2 linked regions of the Lytechinus pictus genome follow. The protein of the gene in region 2 purifies or fractionates together with the protein of the main gene of each other region. This does not show direct contact. Links are inferred from orthologs where the notes say so. Each region holds a gene or a part of one and is shown on either strand. Other genes may lie near its edges. The genes, in order: serine/threonine-protein kinase PLK1-like and C-Jun-amino-terminal kinase-interacting protein 4-like.

What was found.
Region 1: the proteins of C-Jun-amino-terminal kinase-interacting protein 4-like (region 2) and serine/threonine-protein kinase PLK1-like purify together in Homo sapiens (affinity purification with mass spectrometry; 7 studies listed by BioGRID and IntAct, counting the BioPlex papers as one, with this or other methods). This does not show direct contact. The link is inferred for Lytechinus pictus from reciprocal best matches to the Homo sapiens genes SPAG9 and PLK1.

What each region holds. Positions count from the first base shown.
Region 1 is NC_087250.1:7,523,329-7,540,157, forward strand, and holds the start of serine/threonine-protein kinase PLK1-like, read left to right. Parts: upstream 1-10,753; 5' UTR 10,754-10,860; coding exon 10,861-10,965; intron 10,966-13,169; coding exon 13,170-13,277; intron 13,278-14,156; coding exon 14,157-14,273; intron 14,274-15,723; coding exon 15,724-15,941; intron 15,942-16,117; coding exon 16,118-16,213; intron 16,214-16,829. UniProt on the Homo sapiens protein: Serine/threonine-protein kinase that performs several important functions throughout M phase of the cell cycle, including the regulation of centrosome maturation and spindle assembly, the removal of cohesins from chromosome arms, the inactivation of anaphase-promoting complex/cyclosome (APC/C) inhibitors, and the regulation of mitotic exit and cytokinesis.
Region 2 is NW_026974140.1:2,998,690-3,015,745, reverse strand, and holds the start of C-Jun-amino-terminal kinase-interacting protein 4-like, read left to right. Parts: upstream 1-10,501; 5' UTR 10,502-10,541; coding exon 10,542-10,582; intron 10,583-11,660; coding exon 11,661-11,708; intron 11,709-16,921; coding exon 16,922-17,056. UniProt on the Homo sapiens protein: The JNK-interacting protein (JIP) group of scaffold proteins selectively mediates JNK signaling by aggregating specific components of the MAPK cascade to form a functional JNK signaling module.

The sequences.
Region 1 (16,829 bases), on a different chromosome or scaffold from region 2:
AAATCAGCATATGCATTTGGGAAAGTTTATTCTAATCTGTGTAGCTACTGTAAAAAAGAAGAAGAGACTTATCGTCATTTATTTTTTCAAGTGCGAAAAAGCAAAATTAATATGGAGAGACTGCGAGAATATTTTTGACTTTGTTTCTTTCACCAATCTTACTTGGGAAGACATATTTTGGGGATAAAATTAGCAGATCAAGGAAAAGAAAAATTGGTTATAATCACTTTATAATCCTTGTGAAGTATTTGGTTTTCAGTGGTAGAGAAAACAATTCAGAAATAGTTTTGAATAAGATTAAAAATAAATTAAAAGAAAATGAATTTGAAAAAATAAAATTGGCATTAAATAGAAATAAATACCCCCTTCACTTAAAGTATACATCCAAAGAAAATTCACGAAAGTGATGATTATAGACAAATTATATATGAATGGAAAGGTCTTGTCTTTTTATACACAAATATGTCACTAAAAAGTCTTATTGATGTCGTGGAAATGCAAGAAATGAAATTATTAGAGACCATTCTAAGCCCCCCAGCCGCCCCCAGACCGACAGTTCACGCAGTGAAAACAGTCGAGAATAATGACGTCACACAATCATCGAGCTCATCATCCCTCTGTGCATAATACACTGAATCACCTTACTGACCTCTTCAATATCTTCCGAATTTACCGTTTTCTTCATGTAATGTGACATCCGAATTCTGTTTTCGACAACTTCAGACTATAAGGGAACCAGAACTGTGTTATTTTGCCCGTTTTTTATTGAATTGTGAACTGGAAAGATCGATTTTGTCCACTCGACAGTCTTCGTTGTGTTGCTCTACTAACTATTGAAAAACTCCAAGCTGCACGGTCCCATTCACTTGCTCCCGATGCATGTTGCAGGCTACGCTGTTTGATCCAGTCAAAAGTCAAGGTAAGCATGTTTGGAAACTGTACTTGTTCTGACGATGCATTCAGGTCAGATGACAGATACAGATCTGATATAAGTTTAGAATCATGCATTTTGGCATAACTACTATTAAAATTAAAAAGTTTTTATTTTAGAAATAATGTTTTTGCACAATTCCACCCAAGGGCACTCTAGGCGACACCCCAATACTTACCCGTGCTAATAAACTGGGACTCCACTCACGCGCATTTGGGCCGCCCTAGCTTAGAACTAAGCAATATTATCTAGAAATTGTTACATTGTAGTCATTAAATATGTTCTATTAAATAAATTGATAATGTTTAATCGGTACTCACCGGTTCTTTTGTTGCATTTTCAGACCATTTCTCACAATTCTTCGTAAATATTTGCGGCAAATTTTGTCGCCATAGACAGCTTAGCATCCATCTTTATTGATAAATGGAGCGCCCTTTACGATAGTTGTTAATGCCGCGGAGAAATCGTTAGGCATTTTGGCCTGTGTTCAAGGCGTTCTTTCTGTTTTATTTTTTATATTGAAGATTGTGCATTTGTTGAATAGCGCCGTCTACGTCAGGTATGAGATCGAGTGTATAAATACACTCTTCCAAAATAATTATGATTCCGACCTGGCGCTGTTTAACTTCAATCTCTTTCACCTAAATTAGCGATGAATGCTAGCATTATAAAATATATATTATTAACGTCTGACGAAAAGAATAACCAACCGATCAGCTGACGAGAACGCGAATCACGTGATCTTCATATCAGCTTCGATCGAGAGTCAGAAGAGAAGAGCAGCTGCCCAGAAAATCAGGAAAAAGCCCTGAAAATGTAAGTTCCCCTTCATTTCTTTAATTTTTTGTTGTTGCTAACGATGCATTTACACTATAAAATTATAATTTAAATAAGAGAAAGGAATATAGCTTGTACTTGTGATATAATATATAAATATCCTGTTCTCAGAGATTTCTAACCAAAAATACTACTGATGTCGCCTATGAGGTCCATACATGTAATGTTGGACCTCATTGGTACTAGGAGTGCCCAAGGGTTCATTACATGCCGCCACGCACAGAAAAATCAAGCCATAGAAGTCGTGTGTTGTGGACCCAAGAAGTGAGATCCCAGACGCCTCCAGGCTAAGCACGCGCGACCCACTAGTTAGAAATCCACTGACAAACGCGGTTCGTGGTGCGAGGTTAGTATACTTAATACGTGTGAGTGGCACAATTCCAGCAGATTTTTTCTTCAGATTTCTAAAACTGGTCAGGACTCAGGCAGGCGATTAAATTATTTAGGAGCACTGAGTGGTATGGACCATGGCTGAAAATCTGCTGTTTCAGAGGAATGTTTAAGTTTTTATTATACACAGAATTATATCACCATGATGCCGATGTCATGAAGCCAGACAAATTTTCAGCAGTGATTACCCTGATTCCTGGCCAAAATCACTCACACGTATTGCGAGGTTAGTATTAGTATACTACTAGTACGTATTGCGAGGTTAGTATTAGTATACTAACCACGAACCGCGTTTGGCAGTGGATTTCTAACTAGTGGGTCGCGCGTGCTGGGATCTCACTTCTTGGGTCCACGACTTCTATGGCTTGAATTTTCTGTGCGCGGCGGCATGTTAATGAACCCTTGGGTGGGCCAAAATTAGAGTCTGGTGTTTCTTTCTGATTAGAGTGTTGCTGCATATATGTATGCGTAATGCCTTCAACAATGAAGATAAATGCAATCTTTGTAATGACACAGATAGAGACTCAGAGAGCACCGTACCTCAAGTGATGTTCGTGTAGTCTCCACTTCACTACTGGAGTACTGCTACAGCCTACACTACGCTACACACCTACCCGGGTAGGTGTGGCGTACATGTACGGTAGTGTAGCGGTAGTGAAGTGGAGTGGGGCCTACACAAACATCACTTGAGGTAGAGCACCGGTGTTCTGAGTGGAACTTTTCAGGTGTCTAAACCTACTATCATTTGTTGTTGACCGGGAATTACATGCCACCGCACGTCATCAATCATCACGATAATTAAATTCATACTTTAATTTGATTATTTAAACTATTTCTTTTTTTCTCTCTTCTACACACAGATCTGCACACTTGCTGACTCTGGTGACTTATGGTCTCTGCTTGCTACCTCAATCTGGGAGATTCCATCATGTCCTTTTACTATGATTTGGGTATAGCCATTTTTTTCTTCACTCTTTCCAGGACCTACGGTTTGCAAGTTGTGGACTGATAATGATACAAAAGAAATTTTTTCTTTATCAATCTTGGAAACAACTTTGAGCACAGTTTTGGAGAGAACTAAGAAATTTGACTTGGACAAGAATACAGCTTGTCAAAAATAATAACACACAATTTAAACGAAAGAACAATTTTAATGTTACTAGGGCATTTTGCGAGAAATGTTATACTCAATCACACGTCCCAAATCAAGGGTAAGTCCTTTGATTAAACATGTAGTTGAAGTGCGATTGCAACTCGACCTTATTACGCTTGCGGTATTTTATAGATGGCAAATATAGCGATCTTCAACGCTTATATATAAGCGTCGAAATTTGTAGCCATCTCCTTGTATTAGTCTATAATATACGACGTGTCAAATTGTAGCGAACTAGTTCGCTATTTCCAGATCTCCTCTATATATATATACGAGGGGGAATTGTAGCGAACTAGTTCGCTATTTTCTAGATCTCCTCTATATACAAACGACGAGAAATTGTAGCGAACTAGTTCGCTATTTTTCGGAACTCCTCGATATATACACGAGGGGGGATTGTAGCGAACTAGTTCGCTATTTTCCAGATCTCCTCTAGATACATACTACGGGATTTGTAGCGAACTAGTTCGCTATTTTTCGGATTTCCTCTATATATATATATACGACGGGAAATTGTAGCGAACTAGTTCGCTATTTTCCAGATCTCCTCTATATATATATACGACGGGAAATTGTAGCGAACTAGTTCGCTATTTTTCGGATCTCTTCTTTTGTAGCGAACTAGTTCGCTATTTTTCGGATCTCCTCTATATACGACGGAAAATTGTAGCGAACTAGTTCGCTATTTTTCGGATCTCCTCGATATATACACGAGGGGGAATTGTAGCGAACTAGTTCGCTATTTTCCAGATCTCCTCTAGATACATACTACGGGATTTGTTCGCTATTTTTCAAATTTCCTCTATATATATACGACGGGAAATTGTAGCGAACTAGTTCGCTATTTCCAGATATCCTCTATATATATATACGAGGGGGAATTGTAGCGAACTAGTTCGCTATTTTCTAGATCTCCTCTATATACGACGGAAAATTGTAGCGAACTAGTTCGCTATTTTTCGGATCTCCTCGATATATACACGAGGGGGAATTGTAGCGAACTAGTTCGCTATTTTCCAGATCTCCTCTAGATACATACTACGGGATTTGTTCGCTATTTTTCAAATTTCCTCTATATATATACGACGGGAAATTGTAGCGAACTAGTTCGCTATTTCCAGATATCCTCTATATATATATACGAGGGGGAATTGTAGCGAACTAGTTCGCTATTTTCTAGATCTCCTCTATATACAAACGACGGGAAATTGTAGCGAACTAGTTCGCTATTTTTCGGATCTCCTCGATATATACACGAGGGGGAATTGTAGCGAACTAGTTCGCTATTTTCCAGATCTCCTCTAGATACATACTACGGGATTTGTAGCGAACTAGTTCGCTATTTTTCGGATTTCCTCTATATATATATATACGACGGGAAATTGTAGCGAACTAGTTCGCTATTTTCCAGATCTCCTCTATATATATATACGACGGGAAATTGTAGCGAACTAGTTCGCTATTTTTCGGATCTCTTCTTTTGTAGCGAACTAGTTCGCTATTTTTCGGATCTCCTCTATATACGACGGAAAATTGTAGCGAACTAGTTCGCTATTTTTCGGATCTCCTCGATATATACACGAGGGGGAATTGTAGCGAACTAGTTCGCTATTTTCCAGATCTCCTCTAGATACATACTACGGGATTTGTTCGCTATTTTTCAAATTTCCTCTATATATATACGACGGGAAATTGTAGCGAACTAGTTCGCTATTTCCAGATATCCTCTATATATATATACGAGGGGGAATTGTAGCGAACTAGTTCGCTATTTTCTAGATCTCCTCTATATACGACGGAAAATTGTAGCGAACTAGTTCGCTATTTTTCGGATCTCCTCGATATATACACGAGGGGGAATTGTAGCGAACTAGTTCGCTATTTTCCAGATCTCCTCTAGATACATACTACGGGATTTGTTCGCTATTTTTCAAATTTCCTCTATATATATACGACGGGAAATTGTAGCGAACTAGTTCGCTATTTCCAGATATCCTCTATATATATATACGAGGGGGAATTGTAGCGAACTAGTTCGCTATTTTCTAGATCTCCTCTATATACAAACGACGGGAAATTGTAGCGAACTAGTTCGCTATTTTTCGGATCTCCTCGATATATACACGAGGGGGAATTGTAGCGAACTAGTTCGCTATTTTCTAGATCTCCTCTATATACAAACGACGGGAAATTGTAGCGAACTAGTTCGCTATTTTTCGGATCTCCTCGATATATACACGAGGGGGAATTGTAGCGAACTAGTTCGCTATTTTCCAGATCTCCTTTAGATACATATACTACGGGATTTGTAGCGAACTAGTTCGCTATTTTTCGGATTTCCTCTATATATATATATACGACGGGAAATTGTAGCGAACTAGTTCGCTATTTTCCAGATCTCCTCTATATACGACGGGAAATTGTAGCGAACTAGTTCGCTATTTTTCGGATCTCTTCTTTTGTAGCGAACTAGTTCGCTATTTTTCGGATCTCCTCTTTATATATACGACGGAAAATTGTAGCGAACTAGTTCGCTATTTTTCGGATCTTCTTTATAAAATTTTATACACGAGGAGGAATTGTAGTGAACTAGTTCGCTATTTTTCTAATCTTTATATATACAAGAGACGGAATTGTAGCGAACTAGTTCGCTACAATTCCCCCTCGTGTATATAATTTTATAGAGGAGATCCGAAAAGTAGCGAACTAGTTCGCTATTTTTCTGATCTTTATATATACAAGAGACGGAATTGTAGCGAACGAGTTCGCTACAATTCCCCCTCGTGTATATAATTTTATAGAGGAGATCCGAAAAGTAGCGAACTAGTTCGCTACAAAGCCCGTCGTATGGATATAGAGGAGATCTGGAAAATAGCGAACTAGTCTGCTACAATTTGACAATATGGCATCAATATATACAGCCAAAACCTGCAGATTTTCACTTTGAAGCCTTCACAATAATGTAAGCTTTGGAAAAAATGACAACTAGTTCGCTACAATTTCCCCCTCGTGTATATGAAGAGATCAGAAAAATTGCCATCTAGTTCGCTACAGTTTGCCATGTTTATATTTTAGAGAGGAGATGAGAAATGGCGAACAAGTTTGCAACAATTTCCTGTCGTATACATGTAGAGGAGATCCGAAAAATAGCGAACTACATGTAGTTTGCTACAATTCCCCCCTGGTGTATATATAGAGGAGATCCAAAAAAATAGCGAACTAGTTCGCTACAATGCCCCCTCATATATAGTTCGCTACAAATCCCGTCGTATGTATATAGAGGAGATCTGGAAAAATAAAAAAATAGCGAACTAGTTCGCTACAATTCCCCCTCGTGTACATATCGAGGAGATCCGAAAAATAGCGAACTAGTTCGCTACAAATCCCGTAGTATGTATATAGAGGAGATCTGGAAAATAGCGAACTAGTTCGCTACAATTCCCCTCGTGTATATATCGAGGAGATCCGAAAAATAGCGAACTAGTTCGCTACAATTTCCCGTCGTTTGTATATAGAGGAGATCTGGAAAATAGCGAACTAGTTCGCTACAATTCCCCCTCGTATATATATATATATATATATAGAGGAGATCTGGAAATAGCGAACTAGTTCGCTACAATTTGACACGTCGTATATTATAGACTAATACAAGGAGATGGCTACAAATTTCGACGCTTATATATAAGCGTTGAAGATCGCTATATTTGCCATCTTATTATTTCCCTTACGCTTGAATTTGAATTTAAGACTTACGCTTGATTTGCAATTGAACATAAGTTTCTTGCAGTGCCCCATAATTATGTTTTGTTATCAGATATTTAACGTGCTGATTTTTCTCGAAAGGTATAATATATTTGTCCTTTTAAACGGTATTTGAATATGGGTACGCCTTTTATTTGTTTTCCACAATATTTATTGCATGTATGAACAGAAGTGAAATATTTATTGTGAAGCACTGTGAATGTTGTGTGATGGTTCATCATTTTTGTTATAAGACTGAAAGCCTGGTGGATGTGAGGAAGTGGCCTGGATGAAAGAAAAGTGAACATGTGTCCAATTACTGATTTGCATATTCTAAGACAATTTTGTTTCTGGATAAATTTTGCTATGCATTCCCTACATTAAGAGTAAAGGAGAAGTCCACGCAATCAAAAATTCATTTGAATTTAAAGAAAAATAACAAGATATTGCAGGAAATTTCATAAAAACTTTGATTCAAATTTATATAATTACTATTTTAACAGTTCCGTAAATATAACCTATTGTGATCAGATGAAGAGTTTCTATCGTCAAATCTGCAAAGAATAAAAAACAAAATGCCACAAAAATAGAAACGAATGTGATGTGAGTGACAACTCTAATTTGCATATCATTGTTTTGTGTATATGACTGTTTTGAGTAAAAACAACAAGGGAAATTACTCTATTCAAATAATTTTTAGTTGATGTGGACTTGACTTTTAACTCTACCCCTCCCATCCCAAATAAGAGTAGAAATAATCTAATCAAGAACTTGAAAATCAAAAGCAGCAATTAAGAAGCAAGATATGATAAATACAGGTCTGAATAGAATTTCACAAGAAAATAAAAAGAGAAAAAAAAAATGGGTAGGGACAGGGAAGGAATAAAAAAAAAATACCCAGAAAAAAAAAACGAGTTTCGAACCAGGGTCCTCGCACATGACAAAACAATGGCCAACGCATTTGGCCACAGACCATCTCCCTAACAGGAAGGCATTTTTAAGATATATAAAAGAAAGTCCGCTCGCCGCTGTTTCCTAATAATGCTTCGGCAATTCAACTGCAATTTCAGTCATTTCGCGATGGATATTGCCGTGTTTTTTTTTGTGGTTCCTGACTTTGCTACTTAATGAAATTTCATAATTTTTGTTCAGTCATAAAGAAGAATGTCTATGCTTTATATTGACTATAACATTAATGTGACGCAAGTGTGATTTCTACGTGAAAATATGCTTTGTTTATTCACATATATTTCTTGAAAAAAAAAAAAATTCTAAGCTAAATATCGGTTACCAAAATACGTTAAATGTGCACTTTTTTTCACTGTTCAGTAAATTCAAACTTTTATCTATATAACAAGACCAATCTTAAGAGGAATAAACAATTCTAAGAGCAAAAAACGCTGATTGGAAAGATCGTCTCCAATGGGCTGCTGTCAGCTCAGCTGCACACTGCTCATTGTGTGACGTCACTCAGCTGGAGCTCGCAAGAGGACCGGTGGAAGGCAGAAATATGGCATGAAAATAAATCATTTTTGAGAGCTGATTTCTGCAATCTCTGATCACTATTTTGAAAAGTGAAGTTATATATCTGATTAGTAATACTTCCCCTTTACAATGATGACCACATAAAGTCATTATAAAATACTTTTGATTCTTTGGATGTATACTTTAAGAAAATGGGAATGTTGGGAGGAGTTTAGGGAGAGCTAAATGTGCCAAAAACAAAAACAAAATGAAAATAAATGAATAAAATAAATTAATTAATTAAAAGTATAAAATGAATAAATGATAAATAAGTTAAAAATAAAATAAGAATAAATAACGTGTGTATAAATTATATAATAACGATAATGAATAAAGTATTTTTTCAATGAATGCTTAGGCATGAGAGTATTTTTCATTAATATATATATGTACATATATATTTTTTTTTTCATTCTTACCATTCAGAGAAGGAAAACGTTTTTTCCGCCCCCACACGAGTAGAACGGGAAGGTTGTGACGACGAAGGGCATGGGAGGGGGGTTATGGGGAGGGGTAGAGGGTAGGGCCTGAGGCTGATGTTGTTATAGGATATGAAATATATGAGGAATGAGGCCAAGGTGTGGGGAGGGGGGTTATGGAAAATCCTTGTTAATGGCTTTAATTCGACTAGGTTGTATTAATGATTGGTTTTGTGTATTTGGAAAATCTGTTACGTTGTGAATATTTTGACACAAGAAAAAAAATCGAGTACGTTGAGTTTTATTAGGTTTTATTGTAACACTAAAGGAAAAAAGAGAAAATTTAAAGTGTATATGAGTTTACAATGTATTCATATATTAATTTGTAAAGATATATTGTATTTGATGTATGTATTTTATTTTGTATATGACATGTATGAATTGAAGTTGTTGACAAATAAAAACTTCTTAATACAAAAAAAAAACCACCACTCGAATAAGAAGACTGTCGTTATATTGTAAATATCATCCGCTAACGTAGAACTAGAAAACAAAATCGGTTAGCTCTAGTGCAACGAGCCACGAGTCTGATAGTGATACACAAAAAATTGTATCTTCGGCGACGTGCATGAAATATGTTTTTATTACGACTGGTACCGAAGTCTATAGTCTGACCATTGATTGATTGGTTGAGCGTGAGCGCGCGCGTCACAGTATGGGTCAAAAAGTTGTTTTTCTTCGCTAGATAATCGTCCATTCGTCCTGTTGTCCAATTCAGAATTCCTTGGAGAATCTTTCATTTGCAGTTGTGTGATATTAAAATTAGGAAACTGAATATGGTGATAGCGAACCTGTGAAGATCGTTTCAATTACCATCTTGCGAATAACGTCCTTTAGTGTGTATAGTCCGTACGTACATGCACAGGATATACGTCCTTAACCGACCAATCAGAGAATGGCTAACGTGCTGTCTTTAACGGGACGTTAGCGAGCCGTCTGTGTACGAGGAGAAATAAAAAAAATAAAAAAAGTTAAAAAACTCCTCGAAACAGACGGCTGCCAGCTGTCTATAGGATACACTGCCATACTGACACTACTGATTACTGTGTCTGTACATGTCCATCTACGATACACACAGAGACACTGCACTCACGCACTGCCACTGGCATCCAATCCTACTCCACAACCACACACTACGACTACGTCAGACTCTGACCGCGCTGACATTTACTACTCTTCTTGGGGGCAACAGAACAAGGAGAACATCAGAATACCTGATACTCATATTATTCAATGTCATACATGTTTCATACCTTCACTCCAAGCTTTATTTCTCGGGTCAAAAGACAATTTCTGTCGCCGTCGCGGCTCCGCAAGCATCGCCATCTTGTCGGTGCACGTGGATCAACTAAAAATATGTAAATAAATCTAGCTTCTTTATCAGACTGTCTGAATAATAGAAAAATAATTATTATTTGTTTTTTTAATTGTTTTTTATTATAAATGGTATCAAATAAGAACAGATATATTTATCAATCGTAATTATGAAATTCCTTTATACTTTACAAAGAAATATACATAAATAAATATTTAGAAAATGACCCTAAATGCCTTGTACCATATTTAAATTTATGAACAACTCGGTTTAAATGTCCGTACCTTCGTCCAATCAGAGCAGAGTATTTGCGAAAGCGGAGATCTTCATCGGCCAATGAACGACCACTATTCATTGAATACCGGCCCGCTGTTTTTAAATGCACAAAAGATCGTCAGAAACAGGCGATCGCAGCTGACTTGATCGACGCATTGAAATTGTCTGCAGTTTTTTGGACAAATTTTGAAATATTTTGGCTTAAAATATTAAGATGGCGTCAAGACATAAGGAAGATCTCAGAGTAAAGGAAGTTCCTGATGTTGTTACAGATCCATCAACTGGAAAAACATACACAAAAGGAAGATTTTTGGGCAAGGTAACTCGTGAGCTTTTTTTTTTTCATTTTCAGTTAGTGTTGAGTCGTGTTGCCTGTTGAGCTGTGTGTGTGTGAATAGTAAAGTGACCTGCAGCTGCACTGCACTGTGCACAGCCACAGTGCCAGTGGAGTGTGAGGTTTTGCGTCATTTGAATGGAGTCAGGAAATTGTGTTGAAATTTAATGGATTATCAAAATAGTGGAGGTATCAGTTAAAAGAGAAGAAAGAGAGGGGGCACATATCTGCGTACCGCAAGGTTAAACGAAATAAAAAGTTAGTTAACCCGAGTGAAATGAGGCAAAAATTAACATTTATTTTAGAAAACTCCACAAAAATTTTGGTTGATATACTTTTTTAAACCAGGCCAAGACAAGTTTATAATTAAACTTGTTACTGTTAGGGGGATTGGAATTTGGAACAACTCAACCTCGCCTCCGCCTCCAAAACGGGGCTGAGCTGGATCTCATTCTCAGTTTCTCACCTGTTTCGTGAAGACGTGATTTTTTTCTTCATAATTTTGTGTTCATTTATCTTCATTACGATATTTCTTGAAAGTTGAAACAATTGTTCAAGCAAGGAATCAGCCGGATCATCCGCCCGGATGGTACTGTAATTCTTTCTATCTTGACTAACTTTGTTAGAATGTTCAGTATTAGAAGGTCTGTTTTCATTGAAATAACAAAACAAGATCTAGAAATAGAATCATACTGTTTTTTTGCAAAAAAATATTAGAATTGGAACAAATTATGATTTTCTTGCAAAAAAATGTGGAAAGTCATTTTCAGATTAAACTAAAAAAAAAAGTGATCAATGCCCAAATATGAGACCATGATCATGACTTATACATCACACTACATAATTAGCATGTTAGATTTCGATCAATTAAGATTTTATTCACTCTATCGACCCCCTCTCGGGTACTATGAGGTATGACTATGAGAGTACAGCATATGGATATTATGGGTCAATTCATATCAAATCAACAAATTTTCAGACAATTTGTCACCCGACCCCCTCCGATCTTCAAACTTGTGCCAGGAGTAGCTGCTCCTCTGTGACTTATTCCATCACAAAATTGAAACTTTAAATAAAAAATTGTAAAGAATGCTTTGGTTGATTTTCATGAAAGCCTCACCAATATTTCTTTTTTTCAAATGATTGTCAGGGTGAACTTCCCTTTTTAAAAGTGATCTACATCACATGTATCTAACAAGACAAACAACCCACCTGGCCACTTCCATTAACTAGTGGATTTTATAGGCAAAAAACTTCTCTTTTGTAACTCATGTCATCAGTCGTTCAGCTGATATTTTCAAAATAAATCCCCTGTCCATAGCCCAAGTACAACACATTAAACAACACATACCTAAATGTTCTTTTATAGTTATACATTTTGGCTTACAATAGTTACATGTAATTTGCCGAAATTCCCCCCACCGCATGCGGAGTAGGCCTTGGAATTATAGGTCTTTAGAACCACAGGTCCATGGTGGAACATAAGGGGGGGGGGATATTTTACAACTGTTGAGTTCCTAGATTTATATTTCTCCCTCATTGTCAATGTGGGCCACAGTGTAAAGATGTTAACTTGCCCAATGCCCCAATCCATACCCTACTAAAAATACCCCAAAAAAAATAATAGATGTGTTCTGAGGAAAATCCATCAAAGATTAAGAAAGTCATTATATTTTTTTTTTATTTGTGACATATGATCTCAGCTGCCCCAATACAAAATACATAAATTTCAATTTTTTTAACGGTTCATGATGACTTCAACTTCTTTTTTTTTTTTTTCTTTCAGAAGCAGGTGTTAAATGATTTGTATGTTGATATACTAAAGGACTCTAATCAGGGGTGTGAGAGTTCAGATTTTTATCTGATTTTAGATTTTTTTTTTTTTTTTTGATTTTCAGCTTAATTTCAGCTTATTTTTTGCCTTCCTCTGTACAAAAAGTATGGGAGCTCTTTCTATTTCAGACTTTTTCAATACTCTTCAGCTTTTTTCAGATCTTTTTATTTGTGACCACTCACACCCCTGTCTAATTTAAACCATTTTCAATTCTTTTAAGAAAATGACATTTCATTGATTTTTTTTACTACAAGATGTACATGTACAGTGTAGGCTAAGATAGCTGTTACCCCTTTCAAATGCACCTGTGGCTGTACTGAGCCATTACATTATTTTTTTCTTTGTGTCTATACAGGGTGGTTTCGCTAAGTGTTATGAGCTGACTGATGATGCCTCCAAACAGATCTACGCTGGCAAGGTCGTCTCGAAAGCCCTTCTTGTCAAACCTCACCAAAAAGACAAGGTACTATATATCATGTTACACTTTTTTTTTACACAGGGATTACCGGTAAATGCTGATTCTTGCTGAAGTAGCTTTTTTTTTTTTTTTTTGGATTTTGTGTTTATTGAATCGACAATATTTTTGAAATGTACATAAAATTGAATACAATTCGACACAAACAACCATGGAAAAAATAGGGGAAAAAAAGGAAAAAGAAAAAATGCTATATGGTTAGCAGGTTATTCCCTTCAAATTTGGTAGCAAGTCATTCCCTGGTTTGTATAAACTTCATGTTATTTGTCAGATTCAGATATAACTTAGCATTTATACCTAATATACTGTCTTTATTTCTCTTTCAAAAAAAAGAGAGAAATAATAGACAGCATTTAGGAATTTGGGGGTAAAATTGGAGTTGCATGTACCTGTACTGTATTTAACACTGACTATGGTATGTGTGCATTCCTGCACCCTGTATACAGCAGGGCCCCGTCTTACAAAGAGTTACGATTGATCTAATCAATCGTAACTCTATGGAAATCCATCAGTGTCATAATTTTTTCTACAGGAAAGGTGCACAATGTCCTTTGTAAACAAAGAGAAGCATAATGAATTTTCAAGACAACGATGAATCAGAATGCATGAATATACATCATAGTAAGAAAATATTCTGAACAAACATGCATTATAGACGTTGACATTGCTGGCAGTCCATAATTGTGATCGATCGGATCAATCGCAATTTGTATTAAAGACGGAGCCCAGCCCAGGAATGCTACACTCCTTTCCAGAAAATGATTATAGAATAGCATTTAAAACAAATGGTAGGGTGACAGTACAATTGGATACAGTAATCAATTCTTCAAATCTTCTCCATTATGACCAAATTGTTTACTATTGCAGATGACGATGGAGATCCACATTCACAAGAGCCTCCACCACCGTCACATCGTAGGCTTTCATAGCTTCTTTGAAGACAAGGACAACGTTTATGTGTTACTGGAGTTGTGCAGGAGGAGGGTAAGTGAATGTGTCTTGTAAATATATATACAATGACTTAATTAAAGGAGAATGAAACCCTTGAAACCAGCTGAATCCATATCAAAGAGAAAAATCAAAGAAACATATTGTTGAAAGTTTGAGGAAGATTGAATGAATAATAAGAAAGTTATGAGCATTTGAATATTGAGATCACTAATGCCATGTAGTTCCTCCCATTGGCAATGCGACCAAGATCTGTGATGTCACACACGTACAACTCCCTCATTACTTTAGTACTTATTTCACTTATATTCTCACTTTTATAGAGTCTATCACAAGGTGATGTGTTCTCTTTATGAGAGGACAAGTACAGAGGTTTCACAACATTATATCATTGATGAATCGTTTGTCATATGATTAGAATGAGCAAAAAGAGATGTTTTGGGGTATATTTTCAGTGTCCAAAAGGGGAGAGTTGTTCATCTGTGACATCATAGATCTTGGTCGCATTGCCAATGGGAGGATCTCCATAGCATTAGTGATCTCGGCATTCAAATGCTCATAACTCTTCTATTGCTAGTTCTATTTTACTCAAACTTTTATTGATCTTATTCTTTGATTTTTCTGCTTTCACAAAAGTTAACTTGCTCCAAGAGTTTCATTCTCCTTTAAGTTATGATATCATTCACACTTTTTCTGCAATGTGTCCCTGTACAACATGACAGACTTCAAACCATGATACATATAAAGCCATGACACAGCTTACATGTATGTTGTTAAAGGACAAGTCCACCCATCCAAAAGTTGATTTGAATAAAAAGAGAATCCAACAAGCATATCACTAAAAAAATCATCAAAATCAGACGTAAAATAAGAAAGTTATGACATTTTACTTAAATCTTTGTGAAACACCCCCCTGGTTTATTAAGTCTCTTAGTTTGCTTATTTTCACAAAACAATTATATGCACATCCTGGTCGGTATGCAAATTGGCAGACTGATGATGTCACCCACTCACTATTTCTTTTGTATTTTATTATAAGAAATATGAAATATTCTAATTTTCTTCTTGTCAAGTGAAACAAAGTTTTATTTCTCCCTGAACACATGAAATTACCATTATTTTAACAGTTTATGGTTAAGTTGTTCCTTATTGTCAAATCTGTAAAAAATTGAAATATTGTATTCAAACAATAAAAGAAATAAATAAATAGTGAGTGATGGACATCATCGACTCTCTCATTTGCATATCGCTTAGTTGTGCATTTAACTGTTTTGTGAAAAAATAAGCGAAACTTAAAAATGTCAGCTTTCTTATTTTACATCCGATTTCGATGAAATTTGCTGTGTTATGTTAGTTAGATTTTTCTCTATTTATTCAAATCAACATCTTTCTGGGGTGGACTTGACCTTTAAAGAGAGCTCAAAACAACTAATGTCCGTCGCTGTCGTTATTGGCTGATTCTCTTCATTTACTTTCTCTCCAACAGTCGCTAATGGAGCTTCACAAAAGACGGAAGGCGATCACTGAGCCAGAGACTCGTTACTTCATGCGGCAGTGCATCCTGGCCTGTCAGTATCTGTCCAAGACGAAGGTGATCCACCGTGACCTCAAGCTTGGTAACCTCTTCCTCGATGACAACATGGAGATCAAGGTCGGCGACTTTGGCCTTGCTACCAAGGTCGACTTCAGCGGAGAGCGCAAGAAGTAAGTCCTGCGGAGGAGACGTGTGATTTTACAATGATAGGTCATTTATTTGTCTATTGTATTTGTGATTTAGGTATGATAAGGCATCAATAATTCTTGGTTTTCATTTTTTTTTTCTGGGACACTCTGTATAATGATTGTAACTTTTGATTTTTGTTTGATTTTTTTTTCTTCAGGACGTTATGTGGCACTCCCAACTATATTGCCCCGGAAGTGCTATCCAAGAAAGGTCACAGCTACGAGGTTGACCTATGGTCACTAGGGTGTATCATGTAAGTCTTTTTAAAATATTCCTTCTCAGGGTAAATTGCCAACTTGTCCACTCACCAGATGGCCTACCTTCGTTTAATCTAAAGCCATTACGTCCAACAGCCATTTGGTCCAATTATCACTTTGTCTAATTAGACCAAGTGGTATATGGACTAAATGGCTATTTGACCAACTGGTTATCAGACGAAACAGTGAGTGGATGAAATGGCAATTAGACCATGTGGTCAGTGGACGAAGTGATGGTAGACCAAATGATAGTAGACGAGTTGGCAATTGGACGAATTGGCATTAGACCAAATGAAAATAAACCCTTCTGAGATGGTCATTGGTTTGTGCAGGTCCTATATATTTACAGATGAAAACAGGTGTAAAGCCATTTCGTTAATTGGTCAGACTTGGAATTATAGGCAAAATGGAAACTTCTTGTGTACAATTGCTCATTCAACTTGTAGAAATATTTTTAGACATTGATAATTTTATTTTCAACTTAGATAAGGTTTTTGCATGTACATGTAACCACAAAACAAAAGTTATCTAGCCAATCAGTCTGTTTCAGTATAAAAGACCAATTATTTTGGTCTTTTGTGGCCCAAGCGTTGTGGCCCAGTGGATTAGTCT
Region 2 (17,056 bases):
TAAAATTCTGTCACATCTTCTTGGCTCTGCTGCAATGTATAGGCCTATACAATACCTCCATGATATGTGTTATATGACACCTAGATGGATCCTTGTGATTTGATTGGTTCTTTGATATCGTTCATTCAGCCCATTTTGCAATGACGTCATCAACCGTGCAATTTTGGATCCATTTATCGTGCAATTTTGGATCCATACGATATTGTCCATTGCACGCGCGCACCGAGACTGCAGCTGCAGGCACCAGCAGTGCACATGTTGTAATGATGTAACAATCAACAGACCGAACTGCATGAGCATGTTTTGCATCAAAATTCATAAATTTCATTTGAAAAAAAAAATCAATTTTTAGGTGTCATATAAACCAAATAATTAATGTTTTTTCATTCGTGCAATGGACAGAAGTACTTCATTCAGTGAAAGATGAAATAATGATCCATTCAACTCATCTTTCACCTCATGAAGTATTCTGTCCATTATTTGTATACTAGTTGACCTGACATGACCTAAGAAAGGGAGTGAGTAGCCACCTCTGAGGGGTTTATTTACAATGGATAAATGTGTCATTACACAAATTGATAAGGGGTGGTGTCAGTTTCATGTGGTAGTTGATTGATGGATTAAGAGCTCTCTACCAGTTGAGCTGTTTATCATAACCTGTCTACACCAAGCTGTACAATTACAACATGGAGCTATTTAAAGGACACTTGTCCACTCCAACAAAAAGTTGATTTGAATAAAAAGATAAAAATCCAACAAAGATAACACTGAAAATTTCATCAAAATCGGATGTAAAATAAGAAAGTTATGACATTTTAAAGTTTCCCTTAATTTCACAAAACAGTTATATGCACATACTGGTTGGTATGCAAATGAGTAGAGTGATGACGTCATCCACTCACTATTTCTTTTGTATTTTATTATATGAAATATTCTAATTTTCTCATTGCCAAGTGAAACAACGATTAATTCCTCCCTGAACATGTGGAATTAGCATTGTTTAATAATATATGGTTCAGTCAAGTCGGTCCTTATTGTCAAATTTGTAAAAAATGAAATATTGTATAATTCAAACAATAAAAAACAAAAGAAATAGTGAGTGAGGGACATCGACTATTGTCACTCAGTTGTGCATATCACTCTTTTGTGAAAAATAATCGAAATTTTGAAATGTCATAACTTTCTTATTTTACATCTGATTTTGATGAAATTTTCAGTGTTGTGCTAGTTTGATTTTTCTCTATCTATTCAAATCATCATTTTTCTGGGGTGGACTTGACCTTTAATAAACCTCTCTACTTGTACAGTATAAGCTTGGGAAATAATGATTAGACATAGGCTGCGTTTATGCGACCTCAAGCCAGAATCATGATTTGAATCATGATTTGAATCATGATTCAAAACACAAACATGAATCACAATATCACAGAATCAGCGTTTAGACGACCTTCATTCCAATGCTGTTTCTCCTCAGATTCGGGCCAATCCAGTGCGCATCACTAGTGCGCAGTTTGACAGAGGAAGTTTTTCGCACGTGTTTCGGCTCTCGAAAAATCTTTTGCTTCCAGAATTCAGTCTATACCTCATTTTGTTTACTTCTATCATATAGGGTCCATATGCTTCTATTCATCTTGTTAGTTTATCCAAAATGGTGTTCGGAAGTGAATTTCAGCGTAGATCCAATTTAGTATTGATACTGTATACTCAACAACTGAGATCATTGTCTGTCCAGTTAATTCATTTACTATAGAACTTGAAGTTGAAGACATGACCAATAAATGAAAAGTAGTGGACGATGCGATGACCAACACAGAGCTTGAACATGACAAGAAATGCATGCGTAGTACATATTCATGTACATACAGCGCATTGAGCTAGGCAAGAGTCAAACCGAAAGTAGCCCGACACAACAGTGAGGTCATAGAATCATGATTCAAATCACGATATCGTTTATTCGAACATTTTCGTACGTGATTCTGCAGAAACGTCTTTCCAAACGCCCCTTTTTTCGTGTTTCATGTTTGTGATTCTAATCATGATTATATTCAATTTCGACTAAACGCAATCGTGATTCTGCAGAATCATGATTTGAATCATGATTCAGATCATGATTCTAGGGTAAAAAAGTGGCGGATAAACGCACCCCATGTCACATGGAGCTTAGTAGGAAAGTGGTCTAATTATTTCCCAAAATGTACATGAAGGAAAAGGAAATCCATGGAGCTATTTTGAAACACTCCTATCTAGTGGCACAATAAGTCAATTTGAAGGGGCCAGACTTGGCCTTTCCGGAAAAGTTTTGATCTTTTTTTTTAGTAGACAAACCTAATTTTGTGATATATTTGACATACCGTTCTTTTATTTTTCTTTTCTTTCCTTTCCTCACTTTTTTCTTGGTCATGAATTTTCTTATCCTCTCACCCTACATGTATATATATGTACATTAAAATGAATTATGCATATCTGCAAAATTGGGTTATGAAGGCAGATTCTACCACAGTCAGATGTACATGTAGACCTACGTTATTTATTCATTGGAAACACAATTAGTCACATTAATTAGCCATAATCGAGAAAGTGGGAGAAAGAGCAACTCAGAGATTGAGAAGAAAAAATCACAATCAGGAGAAGATTTTGGTGTGCCATTGAGCTCTTATCTGTTTTATAAATTGTGTATGATATAACAAGGTTCATATTCTTTTCACTTTACTAGTTGACAGCTAACTTCACATCCTACAGCATGTAGGGCTTACATTCTAAATTGGCAAGTGCTGATCCTGTACGTAGCCTTCCGAGTCTGGTCTCATGTTTGGTATTGCTTTCTATTATTTTTTTTATATATTTTGATGGTGTCTTTAAAAAAATTTAGACAAAAAAAAAATTGGTTTAAAGTCAGTGCTTTGTGAACAAGCGTTATTATCTTTGAATTTGATGGTATTACGATAATTAACAAACAAACATTAGATATGGCTCTGGCCCCACCACTTTTATTTTGAACATTCTTTTTTTATTAAGGGATCACAACATGATTTTCTTAATTGAGTTGCAGTAACAGCTGAACATGTGATACAGTATGTACATGTAGAGGTATATGTCTGTAACTGCAATTATACAGATGATCATCATGTTATTTCCTCTTTGAACACATATGCGGTTATTTATGATGATGCTGAAAATAGATTACATCGGAAAGTACTTGTACGCTCAAATTAAAATGCACACACAACATCCATATGTAGAAACCATCCATTTGTATTGAGTTCCTCAAAACATATGCTGAAAGCATTGTGCACAGTCATACATCTAGCATGCTCATTGAGGTACTGCATACTCCGTCTCCTTCCTTTCTGAACTACCGTACTTGCTGTCTGCCTCTTCAGATATGTGCATTCTCCGTGCATTCGCAGAAATGCGCTTGCACTTGAATTTCAATGCTTGTATTCTGGGCATGTGCTGACTCAGGCAAGCTTGCTTTCCTGCAGTGGTCTTCATGTGTTTGATGACCAAACATTTCAGAGTCAAAAGCTGAGATACATCATGTACATGTACACCGTGTTTTGTATGAACATTTTAAGAGATTTGCATTTAAAGTGATCATGTTTAGGAATTGCTGTTCCTGTGATATCAATTCAATTCGACCTCGAAAATTAAATGCATGTTTCTAATATATTAAAAGGCCGATGGTTCACTATAAATCCCTATTGAAAATGCCTTAAGTACTGGTTCACTACTCCATATTGATTTAATGTCTAAAATGGTTCACTATAAAGCCATATGGATGTCTTTGTTAACGTTTTGCCTATTCACTGAAAACTCTTGGACAAACCATGTTGCAACTAAATAATTTTGATGTCATTTATAACAATGAGTGATGATAAACTATTCCACTCTACCAAATTATGAATTGGCTTTTTTTTTTAATTCAGAAAATAAAACATTCAGATTTTTTCTTTGATGTTGCATTAATTTTGATTTTGAAATGGACATTACCCTGCCATCAATAATCCAAATTTCCCCAAATAATGAGATGTCAGATCAAACAGTTTATGCATACACATACATGTATAGACATGTAAAACAGCATAGTAAATGATTAAAGGCCATGTTTTTGTATTCAAGAGAATTATTCTGGAAAAAAAGCTTAAAAAACAATTAATTGAAATTAAAGATTGTTTCATGAGAAGTTATTTTAAAAAAAGAAACCAGCATACACCTGTATACCTTAATACACATATACATTTTAATGGAGATTGCAATCAAGAGAAAGTCATGTTTCTGAGACTCTGACACCCCATGTACTGTACATGTAGTCTTCTCTTTTTATTTTCCCCCTTTTAATCATAGATATTGAGGATAAGTTCAAGATGTCTATGTAATCTTGTCTGATTGAGAAGCAAAAGAAAAAAGAACACTTTGATTGTTAGGAAGGTTAATTTCAAAGATATCCGGGAGGAGATTTGTCGATTTGATATAACAATAATTAGATACAATTGCAATGCAGCTTTTGATCATACGTATTTAATGACACATTATACACATTACCAAATATTAGTGCTTCCATTTTTTGCCAAATAGGTATTAAATTATTCAATGTCAATTTTTTAATGCTAGAATTGAATTACAAATTTGTTCTTGACTGATTTGTTTACCGCATCTTAGTAGCATAACTTTAGCTGTTAACTTGCCATTGATTACAAATTTATAAAATAGGCCACGTTGTTCGTTCCCTTTAAAGTGTGAGTCATGTACTTGTAGGAGACATTTCACAGACTGAAAACTTAATTTAGAAAGCATCTGGGCCCCTTAACACAAATGTAATGATCAATAGCAAAAAAGGTAATGACCAATCAAGATCCTTGTTACATTTGCATTTCATTGAAAAGACTGAGCTGTAACCAATCTAGAGTTGATATTTCAAATGTGCGATTGATTGCAAACCGTTGTGTTACAGGGCACTAATCTGAATCTCTCTGACCAGAAGAGGCAAGGGACTTGCTTTCTAATCAAAATTCTCTTTTATCTAGAGGGTGTTGACACTGGGGGTGCTTGAGTTGATGGGTACAATTGTTTTATCATATGAGCTCGAATTCAAATTGATTAAAGAGCCATCAGGAAGGCAAACTGATATTGTCTTTTCAAGGACCCATTGTCGAAAGAGTTTCATTTGAATGCAAAGAGAAAATGACTTGTGTATTATGCTTCTGTTTGGCTGAAAATCAAGTCCATTTGATTTTCAGAGTTGTGTTTGATTACAGGTCTTTCTGCAATACATTCTCAAATCTTATCAGTTGGATTCCTGAAGATGAGGGGGCGCTCTCTAAAATAAAAGTGTGTTTTCGCTTTATATTCTGTAATCATCTCGGTGATCACTTGTTTAAACAAGACCCTGGCCTGGGAGATCTAAGCACTCACTGAGGGTGGAAAAAATATTTGTGCTTAAAAACATGGATTCTTGCATTTATTTCTAGCTTGTATATCTTATTTAAAAAAAACAAATAAAAAAAAACGAATTAAATTCACTTTAGATTAGCTTTAAATTCATGCCTAAAAAATAGCTATTTTTGTCTCGCCTGCATAGCAGAGCGAGACTATAGGCGCCGCTTTTCCGACGGCGGGGGCGGCGTCAACATCAAATCTTCACCTAAGGTTAAGTTTTTGAAATGACATCATAACTTAGAAAGTATATGGACCTAGTTCATGAAACTTGGCCATAAGGACAATCAAGTATTACTGAACATCCTACCTGAGTTTCAGGTCACATGACCAAGGTCAAAGGTCATTTAGGGTCAATGAACTTAGACCATGTTGGGAGAATTATTTTCAAAATCTTAACCGAAGGTTAAGTTTTTGAAATGACATCATAACTTAGAAAGTATATGAACCTAGTTCATGAAACTTAAGCATAAGGTCAATCAAGTATTAGTGAACATCCTACCTGAGTTTCAGGTCACATGACCAAGGTCAAAGGTCATTTAGGGTCAATGAACTTTGGTCAAGTTGGGGGTATTTGTTGAATTACTATCATAACTTTGAAAATTTATGGATCTAGTTCATGAAACTTGGACATAAGGTTAATCAAGTATGAGTGAACATCCTTCCTGAGTTTCAGGTCACATGACCAAGGTCAAAGGTCATTTAGGGTCAATGAACTTTGGCCAAGTTGGGGGTATTTGTTGAATTACCATCATAACTTTGAAAATTTATGGATCTAGTTCATGAAACTTGGACATTAGGTTAATCAAGTATCACTGAACATCCTGTACAAGTTTCAGGTCACATGACCATGGTCAAAGGTCATTAAAGGTCGATGAACTTTGGCCATGTTGGGGGCATTTGTTAAATTACCATCCTAACTCTGAAAGTTTATGGATCTAGTTCATAAAACTTGGACATAAGAGTAATCAAGTATCACTGAACATCCCCTGTGAGTTTCAGGTCACAAAAACAAGGTCAAAGGTCAGTTAAGGTCAATAAACTTAGGCCATGTTGGGGGTATTTGTTAAATTACCATCCTAACTCTGAAAGTTTATGGATCTAGTTCATAAAACTTGGACATAAGAGTAATCAAGTATCACTGAACATCCTGTACAAGTTTCAGGTCACATGACCATGGTCAAAGGTCATTAAAGGTCGATGAACTTTGGCCATGTTGGGGGCATTTGTTGAATTACCATCCTAACTCTGAAAGTTTATAGATCTAGTTCATAAAACTTGGGATATAAGAGTAATCAAGTATCACTGAACATCCCCTGTGAGTTTCAGGTCACAAAAACAAGGTCAAAGGTCAGTTAAGGTCAATAAACTTAGGCCATGTTGGGGTAATTGTTGAATTGCCATCATAACTTTGAAAGTTTATGGATAGAGTGAATGAAATGTGGACATGGGTGTAGTTGACAAGTCTTAAGTCACCGTTCAAATGTCATTTATGGTCAATGAACGTGGTATTATGTCATTATATGAATGGTGTTTTTGTAAATGATTATTTTATTGTAGTTTTCAAAGTTAGCACTGCTGCTATATTAAATCGCGTAATGCAGGCGAGACTGCCAGAGGCGTTCCACTTGTTAATGTTATGAAGACCCAGAAATCTGACCCCAGCCCCCTATAGTTTTTTATTCCACATTTTGTTATATGCATACTACTTTTCAAAATCAATGTTTATAATGTTATATTTATCACTTACCAGTAATTTTCACTTCAATTCAGTTTGAATTCAATCCAATTATTAGTGAATCAAAATTGTTATTTTTAACTTTACAATTAGTAATGAATTTACATTGTCATTATACTATTTTAATCAAATTTTGATATTTATATTCCACAATTTTTGCACTCTAAATATTATTACATGTATAACTATTATTCAAAGATATGTTCATGTATTTCATTATAATTTTTTTATGTATTGATTCATGTTAATTTATATGTAAATTCATCTCAATTCAGCTTGGTCGCCATGATATATGTTTTTTATCAAATAAACCATTTATCTGTCTGTCTATCTAGCTATCTTATCTATCTATCTACATGTATCTATCTGTCTGTCTGTCTGTCTATATATCTTATCTATCTATCTATCTATCTATCTATTTCTATTGAATAGAATTTACTTATTAAAGCTTCTATCGCCCTCTCACAGTAAGGTGTTCATTTTTGTCTCGCCTGCATAGCAGAGCGAGACTATAGGCGCCGCTTTTCCGACGGCGGCGGCGGCGGCGGCGTCAACATCAAATCTTAACCTAAGGTTAAGTTTTTGAAATGACATCATAACTTAGAAAGTATATGGACCTAGTTCATGAAACTTGGACATAAGGTTAATCAAGTATTACTAAACATCCTGCCTGAGTTTCAGGTCACATGACCAAGGTCAAAGGTCATTTAGGGTCAATGAACTTTGACCATGTTGGGAGAATTATTTTCAAAATCTTAACCGAAGGTTAAGTTTTTGAAATGACATCATAACTTAGAAAGTATATGGACCTAGTTCATGTAACTTAGGCATAAGGTTAATCAAGTATTAGTGAACATCCTGCTCGAGTTTCAGGTCACGTGACCAAGGTCAAAGGTCATTTAGGGTCAATGAACTTTGGTCAAGTTGGGGGTATTTGTTGAATTACTATCATAACTTTGAAAATTTATGGATCTAGTTCATGAAACTTGGACATAAGGTTAATCAAGTATTAGCAAACATCATGTGCGAGTTTCAGGTCACATGACCATGGTCAATGGTCATTTAAGGTCAATGAACTTTGGCCGTGTTGGGGGTATTTGTTAAATTACCATCCTAACTCTGAAAGTTTACGGATTTAGTTCATAAAACTTGGACATAAGAGTAATCAAGTATCACTGAACATCCTGTACGAGTTTCAGGTCACATGACCATGGTCAAAGGTCATTAAAGGTCAATGAACTTTGGCCGTGTTGGGGGTATTTGTTAAATTACCATCCTAACTCTGAAAGTTTATGGATCTAGTTCATAAAACTTGGGATATAAGAGTAATCAAGTATCACTGAACATCCCCTGTGAGTTTCAGGTCACAAAACCAAGGTCAAAGGTCAGTTAAGGTCAATAAACTTAGGCCATGTTGGGGTAATTGTTGAATTGCCATCATAACTTTGAAAGTTTATAGATAGAGTGATTGAAATGTGGACATGGATGTAGTTGACAAGTCTTAAGTCACCGTTCAAATGTCATTTATGGTCAATGAACGTGGTATTATGTCATTATATGAATGGAGTTTTTGTGAATGATTATTTTATAGTAGTTTTCAAAGTTAGCACTGCTGCTATATTAAATCGCGTAATGCAGGCGAGACTGCCAGAGGCGTTCCACTTGTTTCTTTGAAAAGGGACTTTTGAGCATGTATCTATAAATGAATTAGCGACTGGATTTAGTATGCCACAAAGAAATTTATTGTGAAATTTTCAGCTCATTCCATATCGAAATGTTACGATATGTAAATATATATTTTTTTAAAGAAAATTATATGTATAGTTTGATTTGAATTGAAATGTTGCCCTGTAGTTCTAGGAAGTCTGGGATTTTATTGAAGATTTCAAACCCCTGACACTGTCAAGTTGGTTTTTGTAGTTACTTAAAGGAGAATGAAACCCTTGAAACCAGCTGAATCCATATCAAAGAGAAAAATCAAAGAAACATATTGTTGAAAGTTTGATGAAGATTGAATGAATAATAAGAAAGTTATGAGCATTTGAATATTGAGATCACTAATGCCATGTAGTTCCTCCCATTGGCAATGCGACCAAGATCTGTGATGTCACACACGTACAACTCCCTCATTACTTTAGTACTTATTTCACTTACATTCTCACTTTTATAGTCTATCACAAGGCGAGGTGTTCTCTTTATGAGAGGACAAGTACAGAGGTTTCACAACATTATATCATTGATGAATCGTTTGTCATATGATTAGAATGAGCAAAAAGAGATGTTTTGGGGTATATTTTCAGTGTCCAAAAGGGGAGAGTTGTTCATCTGTGACATCATAGATCTTGGTCGCATTGCCAATGGGAGGATCTCCATAGCATTAGTGATCTCGACATTCAAATGCTCATAACTCTTCTATTGCTAGTCCTATTTTACTCAAACTTTTGTTGATCTTATTCTTTTATTTTTCTGCTTTCACAAAAGCTAACTTGCTCCAAGAGTTTCATTCTCCTTTAATATGTAGGGCGTCAGTGCAAGAGACAACTAACAGCCACAAATCACAAATATTATGCTTCCGAAATCTCTTGATAGTGATTCCGCACAGGAATCCCCATTGGGGAATCCCATGTGCCACAAGCAGCAAAAGCCCTTTTTAAAAAGTTGGTGGCAGTTGCATGATACCTGTATATTCAATATGTATTTAATAAAATGGTTAGTAGTTTTAATTTTGAAATGTTTATTCAGGCATTGATGATTTTGTCATTTGGTATGCCATGGTAACATTTATATAATTTTTAGAAGATATTGTGCAAGTGTTTTTGAACCCAAAGCACAGATTCTTCATTTTTAGCAATGAAATATGATATTTACCACTCTTGAATGAAGAAATGCATATTCATTAGGAACTCATGAATATGTATTGTGCTTGCTCGTTGGGCCAGTTGTGCAGTGGGTACATGTGCATGCGTGCGTGCTCTCAGTGTAGTGTATGTATACACACGTTATTCTCTGTCATCTCACTCTCTCTCCCATCTGTCTTTCTTTCTCTCTCTCTCCCTTTCTTCTTCTCTATTACATGTATAAATGAAATCTTTATTTTAATGAACAAAATTAATTGTATTAACTGAACAAGAAATGCTTTACCTTAATCTTATCATGTTACCCTTTTCAGAGTTTTTATTTGAAAGAGACTTACTGTGGTCATCAAATTCACTGTACAATGCATGTTGTCATGGTTTTTTCACGGTCTTCTTTTTGCATTCTCCCCTTAATTTTTGTAGATGGCTTTACCAATTTCATTCACTATCTTTCAAACTGTCTCTTTTCTATTCAGGTTGTTCAGAAGTACTTGGAGTATGTTGACCGGGTCAAGATGATGGGACAGGTTGATACTACCACACAACAAAGGTTCAGGTAGGGGATTTCCCTTTATAATCTGATACCACCATCCCCCCCCCCCCCCCACCCTTCTACAAAATTGCATAAAATATACTATATATCAAGAAATGCTGCTGTGAAATGTGAAATGATATTATTTGGGATCTTTGGTTAAAATGTAAAGGCACTGTTCACGTACACCATGGATCTATTACACTCACACGCCAACTCAGATTTTTTTTTTTTGAGGGGGGGAGCTAGTATTTTCAACTCAAGCTCTGCAAGTAAATGAGCAGTTTTAAATCAAGTTGATCAATGTTTTGGCCTTATTTCTTTGTCATAGTGGTAAGAATTGTTTGGCAACTTGAACACAATCCTGTTCATGGAGACATGCTCATTTTCTATAAAAAAAAGGAAAAAGAAAAAAAGGGGATGTTTTACGAAGATTTAAGTGTGACTAAAATTCATGCTTAAGTGCCACAGGACACGTATTTTACATATAGACTTCTTCATTATTACACAGAAGCAAACATCCTCCAAGCATTGTTTGACCATTATGCATTATATACCACACACAACTGGGTATTTGAATTTAGTTGCTTTTAATACTGCTGAAGTTTGTTAAATGCCCCTTCAGATCTCTTCTGCAACACATAAATGAAATTGAAATTCATATTTATCAAAGGGATGATGGTACAATTGTGGTGCTTTTTCTATGGTCTACATGTATATTAGTTTATAGACCTTATAATCATACTTTGGTACTTCTGTTTGACACCTCTATAAAAAGCTTGTCGTTCTTTCCAATCTATCCAGTACTATTTCTCATGTGTACTGTAGGTATCTGTTGGAATGGATAATTTATACTCCTGCTATGCAAGATTTTGTTTTTATATTATCATTTATTCATAAGGGATGATAATCATATGACATTGTGATGAGTACCTTTTCAGATATTTTCTTTGTATTTTATTCAAGGGATGAATCTTAATAAGTAAAATTGATGTAAGATATAAAAAATCCATTTATGATATCTTGGTTTGAATAAAAAAAAATTATCAGAAATCATAGCACATCAATGAATTGGCCCCAAAATAAATCCTCTTTGATGCAGAATGAATCACGAGCTTGGATCTCCGACTTATTCAAGGGGGGATGATGAGTATGAGAAACAGATCATTTCCTTTGTAATCATTACTGATATCTTACAATATCATACTCACATATAAATATGCATACATGTACCTTTGACTTGAGAGTATTAAATGCATGTTTTCTTTTGTTGAACTAACCATCAGTATTATATGATATGTAGCTTGGAAAGGCACATTTGGTTCATCTAACTTTAAGAGCATGGTTGGTTTTTAGTGCACAAGTGCATATTTTATTTTTGTAAATATATATCTATATTTGGATAAAAAATGTACTCCTTTATATATTCTTTAAGTTTAACAATAGTTTAATAGTCAGTATATTCTGCCTATCTCTTCATACACTAAAATGGACTAAAATAGAATGAATTATTTAGTGATTATTTGGCATCCACCCCCAAAATGATAGTAATAAATGAATACATAAATGGGTAAATGAAATTTAATTTAAAAAATAATCAATAAGTAAATAGATGAATGCATAAATAAATAAATGAATAATTAAATGAATGAATAAATAAATGAATAAATAAATAAAATAATAAATGAATAAATAGATCACAATTTAAAGAATGTATAATGCTTTAAACGCATTATGGAGTTATGGTTACAATATGTAAAATGTTCATTTCTTGATTAATTTATAAGGTGGCATTGAAAAGATGTTGGTTGATAGCCTTTGTATGTTGTGTTATTCATTGAATGATGCATTCTCAAACAATTAAAAGAAACTTGCTTTCAATTGCAAGTCAAATACCATGTCCTGACACAACATAAATTTCCTACAAAGTGACTGATGTATCAAACTCTAAAATCATTCACAGTGTCATTGTCAAAATGACATACATTCAATACACCAGCCTTATATTGTAATGGCTTAGATCTTTATAAAACAAAAGCCTAAAAGTGCAGTTGATTGCAGATTTTATCCTCTCAAATGAGCTGATATTGTGTGGTTAGGTGAAAGAAGCCGAGGCATCATTTTTCAAACCACAATAAACAAGTGAAATACAAAATTCAGATATAATGACAGATAATTGCATTGTAAGCAATTACTTTCAATTATGAAGGCGTATGGAAAGAGACATTCTAAATTCTAAGCCAACATATTACAATCCTTATTTCCTAATAATTTAACAATGATTATTTTATATACAAACAGTGATTTGAGCCTGGAAGTGTTTCAACAGTGAAAATTGTTTAATGATCTTGTTGACTTACATAGTTTTAGTTGATTTTTGTCAAATAAAACAAGTATAGTATATATACATGTACATGTAGTAGCACAAATATTATTTCCACAACATGACTTGGCTTTTTCTCCCTTCAAGAAATTTCATCTGAAATTTAAATCAAGTTTAATGCTAGAAATGTATCTATACATCACCCTCTTCCAGTTGGGTGGTTGGGATACATGTACATGTATATTGTACACCTATTGTAACAAAACTATCCTTGGTGTATATTTATATTTATTGTACACAAGTAACAGATTGACTTTAAAATAACATGTATGAGCGATTGCATTTGTTTTTATTCCTTTTCCTTCCTTAATTCCAACCAACATGTTTTTCTATTTGTTTTATATACAGATATCTTCCCATTTTCTAGATCTTCATTGTAGATGAGAGAGAAATGTAGAAAAGAATGTTTGTGTATAGTGTATTCACTGCCTGCTTGCATTATTAACTCCTCATCATTATGGCCACTACAAAGGCTAAGTTGGACTTGATTGTACTTTTAATATTCATCTGATTAGGGTTCCAGCCTTTTTTTGCTCAATTACATCTTGATTTTGATGATTGTAATGAGTGTTCATTTGACAAATATCATTTAAATATTGTGCTTTTGTTTTATTTGAAAACTAATCTGATTAATTAAAATTAATTAAATCAATTTATCAAAATTAATTGATCTGTCAGAATGATATATTTTAAAATGGTGGTTACCCTTCGTACAATTTTATCTAATGTTATTATTCAGAAAAATGAAAAATAATTTTTAGTATTGAATATGTTTGTTTTAACGAATGGATATTTGCTTTATTGCTTGGAAAAGTCTGGAACTCCTATTTGTTTAACATGGTTCTGTTTTGTTCTACCATTCATATCTAAGCCATATACCAAAATTTTATGGATAAAAAGAAAAAAACAGCCCAGTTGCAATATTCAAATCTGATCCTGAAGTATGTTATCTTAAATTTCACTATTATTAAACTGGCTTCTCATGCCTAATGGAAAGAAATACATCTTTTTCATTTCCTTTATTATCAGTCCCCCTATTTTTTTGGACTTAGTTACCGTACATTTAGGATGAAAAGAGGTGGAAAAACAACATGACAAAAATATGCAGATATATGGCTTAGATATACACTTTTTATCATTGACACTGTGCATGCACATTGCATTTTGAAATTTTATATTGCATGGATTCCTTCCCTACTCACACCTTCAACCCACCCTCGAAATCCTATCCATTACTTATATTTGCATGGGGGCATCTTTCATAATTTCATAATTTCTTTTCCAGGTTTTTTTTTCATTCTCATTGTCATCCTGAGGGCTATTAAACTTTTAAATAGTTTGAGTAGTCTGGTTTTATTAATAAAACAGTCTTACTTCTCCCATATTTTCAGCATTTTCATTTTATCCTTTGTTTGGGACTTTGGGAGTATTATTTATTTACAATCAAAACTGCCATCAAGTGACTCCAGCTTATTGAGGATTTGTGTATTGCATCATGGGAAAATAAATTATTAGTTGTGGTGCAGCTGTAAAATAATCTGATTCCCGCTTCATAAAGACTTGTTATAGTAACAAATGCAGATTTGCTATAACAAATTTTACTATCAGCCAATCAGACAGATGGATTTCAGTAGCTTTTAGCTCTTATTGCAAATTTGTTATTATAACAAGTTTTATGAAGTGGGTCCCTGAAGTCACTTGAATTAGAATAATATAATTCTATCAAAATTTTGAAGAGTTGATTTTGATTACTTATCATTGCAAAATTTTTGTTCAGATTCCAAAATATCAATCACAGCATTTATTATTCTATACTCGACACTCTTGGGTCATTAGGCATCACAAAACATGTTAGTTCAAATCTCTGTTGCACCTTTTCTTGGATTTGTACAAATGGCAATGGGAAACTCACAAAAAAAGTGCATTTGAGATTGGCATTTCCATGAAAATTTGGTTTCTGTAAACACAAATATGCAATTGTTTCATTAACGATTTCTGTATTTCCACCATAAATTTTGTGCAATGCAGGCTCTTTTAACTTCTTAGCCATTAACATGGATCAATACGAAATGTTAGCTTATAAATATAAATGAACAAAAGTAGAAAAATAGCCCTAATTTTTCCTCAACTTTCTCCCTATGTACTGCATTTCAGATATATGTTATCTTCATTTCATCTGAGAAGCACAAATGCACCCATGTTGACCTAACTGGCAATGTTTTAGTAATTTTTATCATTTTTTGTGATTTTACTATATTATTTTGATAGAAGCTTTGTACTAGCTAGCTTAAAATTGGCCTTTCACATGCTGGCAGTTGGGGGCGCAATTGATTGTAAATTAATCATACTGGAGCTTTTGTACCTCTCATCTCTTGGATGACAGAAGGGTGCTTATAAGGATTTTAGTGGATATAATTAAATTGGCTTCCAACAGATGATGTTTAAAAATAAATCAGTTATTATATTGATCATTCATATGCAGTTCACCTTTGAAATACTTTGCAAACCTACATGTAAATGTTAAGTCACCATCTATAAGGGTGGAGGAGTGACAAGTTTTTTTTCAAATGTTAAATTCAGTTTTGACTGGGGTTGATTCAGCGCATTGATGGTTGAATTTGGCACAATAAAGTTTTATCTCACAACAAGAAAGTTGTTAATCTGACATTTGAAAATTTAGTCATTCCTCGGCAATTATAGTATAAGAATTTTTTCTTAGCACTTTCTTTGCACCTAATTCCTGGTATTTCAGTTTTATTCACACAATTTAGTTTAATTTCACATGTGTACTTGCCGGTGATTAATCAATCATATTTGCTTAATAATTTTTGAAGTCAACATTTTTGCTATCATTTCTTTTATAGCTTTTATTTGATTCCTTAAATCATACCTTCCAAATTCATTTTATACAGTATTCTTTTAGACTTTGAATGGAAAAAAGACCCAGCCCCTGAAAAAGTACCCAAAGAATTTACATTATATTGTCGCCTTCCCGCAGAAAGGCCGTTAACGTATTTTGGCGCCAAAAAAAAAAAATTGAATTTTGTTATATTGCTGAAATGGAAAAAGCATGTCCCGAACTTTCTTCTGGTACCATTCTCGAACCTGAATGTGATGTCATTATGACATAATAAGCAAAAACATTCCCACTTGCTTTAGCATATAGACGCATTCTTAGTCTGGGAACAAGACGCTTCTCGTTCAACGTGCGTGTGCGCATAGACCGATTCGGGCTAGCGGCCTTCCTGCGGTCACTGGATCAGCGGATTGCACATTTTTCTTCCCGGAAAAAGGGTGTAAGGTATTCCTTCTTAAGATTAGAAAGCGTAGATTAGAGTGTTTTAAATAAAACAAACAAAATATCAATGAAGAAAACATCTTTGTCAGAAAGTATGAGAATTAGGACAGAAAATAATACACTAGCTGCTTAAAGCACAAAAATAAGGTCAAAACATAATTTGCGTTTTCTTAAAAATGTACTTGCACGTTAACGGCCTTTCTGCGGGAAGGCGACGATATGGTTTATACTGTTTATGCAACAATAAAAAATATGCACTTTGCCTGTTATAATAAAATAACTTACTTTTTATTATTCTCATTCATAGTTTCTCTTTCTTTAACAAGTTTGTCAGCCTAAATACCCTTCAAGTTTGATCTAAGTTAATCCCACCAAGGGGGAAATGAAAAAGAAAGGGGATGTAATGTAATAAAGAGACTTATTTTTACCTTCAAGTATCATGATTTTACCCAAAAATGAAAAATCTTTGATTGGACAGATGTGATAAAATCCAATAAATCTTTAGCTGTGATCTTTCATTCTTAAATACACAGTTGTGTAGAATAAGTGTATCTAGAGATGTAAACAAGCAAAGCCCATATCTGCAAGAATGTACAGATAATAATTCCCGTTACTTTCCAGATTACATGTATGTAAGGCATACTTCTGTTGTAACTTTGCTCACTCTTATCCATTCCCATAGGATAAACATTCAGAAACACCAATTGGTTGGTGGATTCGACGATGACCAGCTGACACCTACCAAGGAGAGGATAATGTCCGATGACCTGTCATCGCCGACCACCACTCCTTCTAATGCTCTCAACAAGTTCAATGA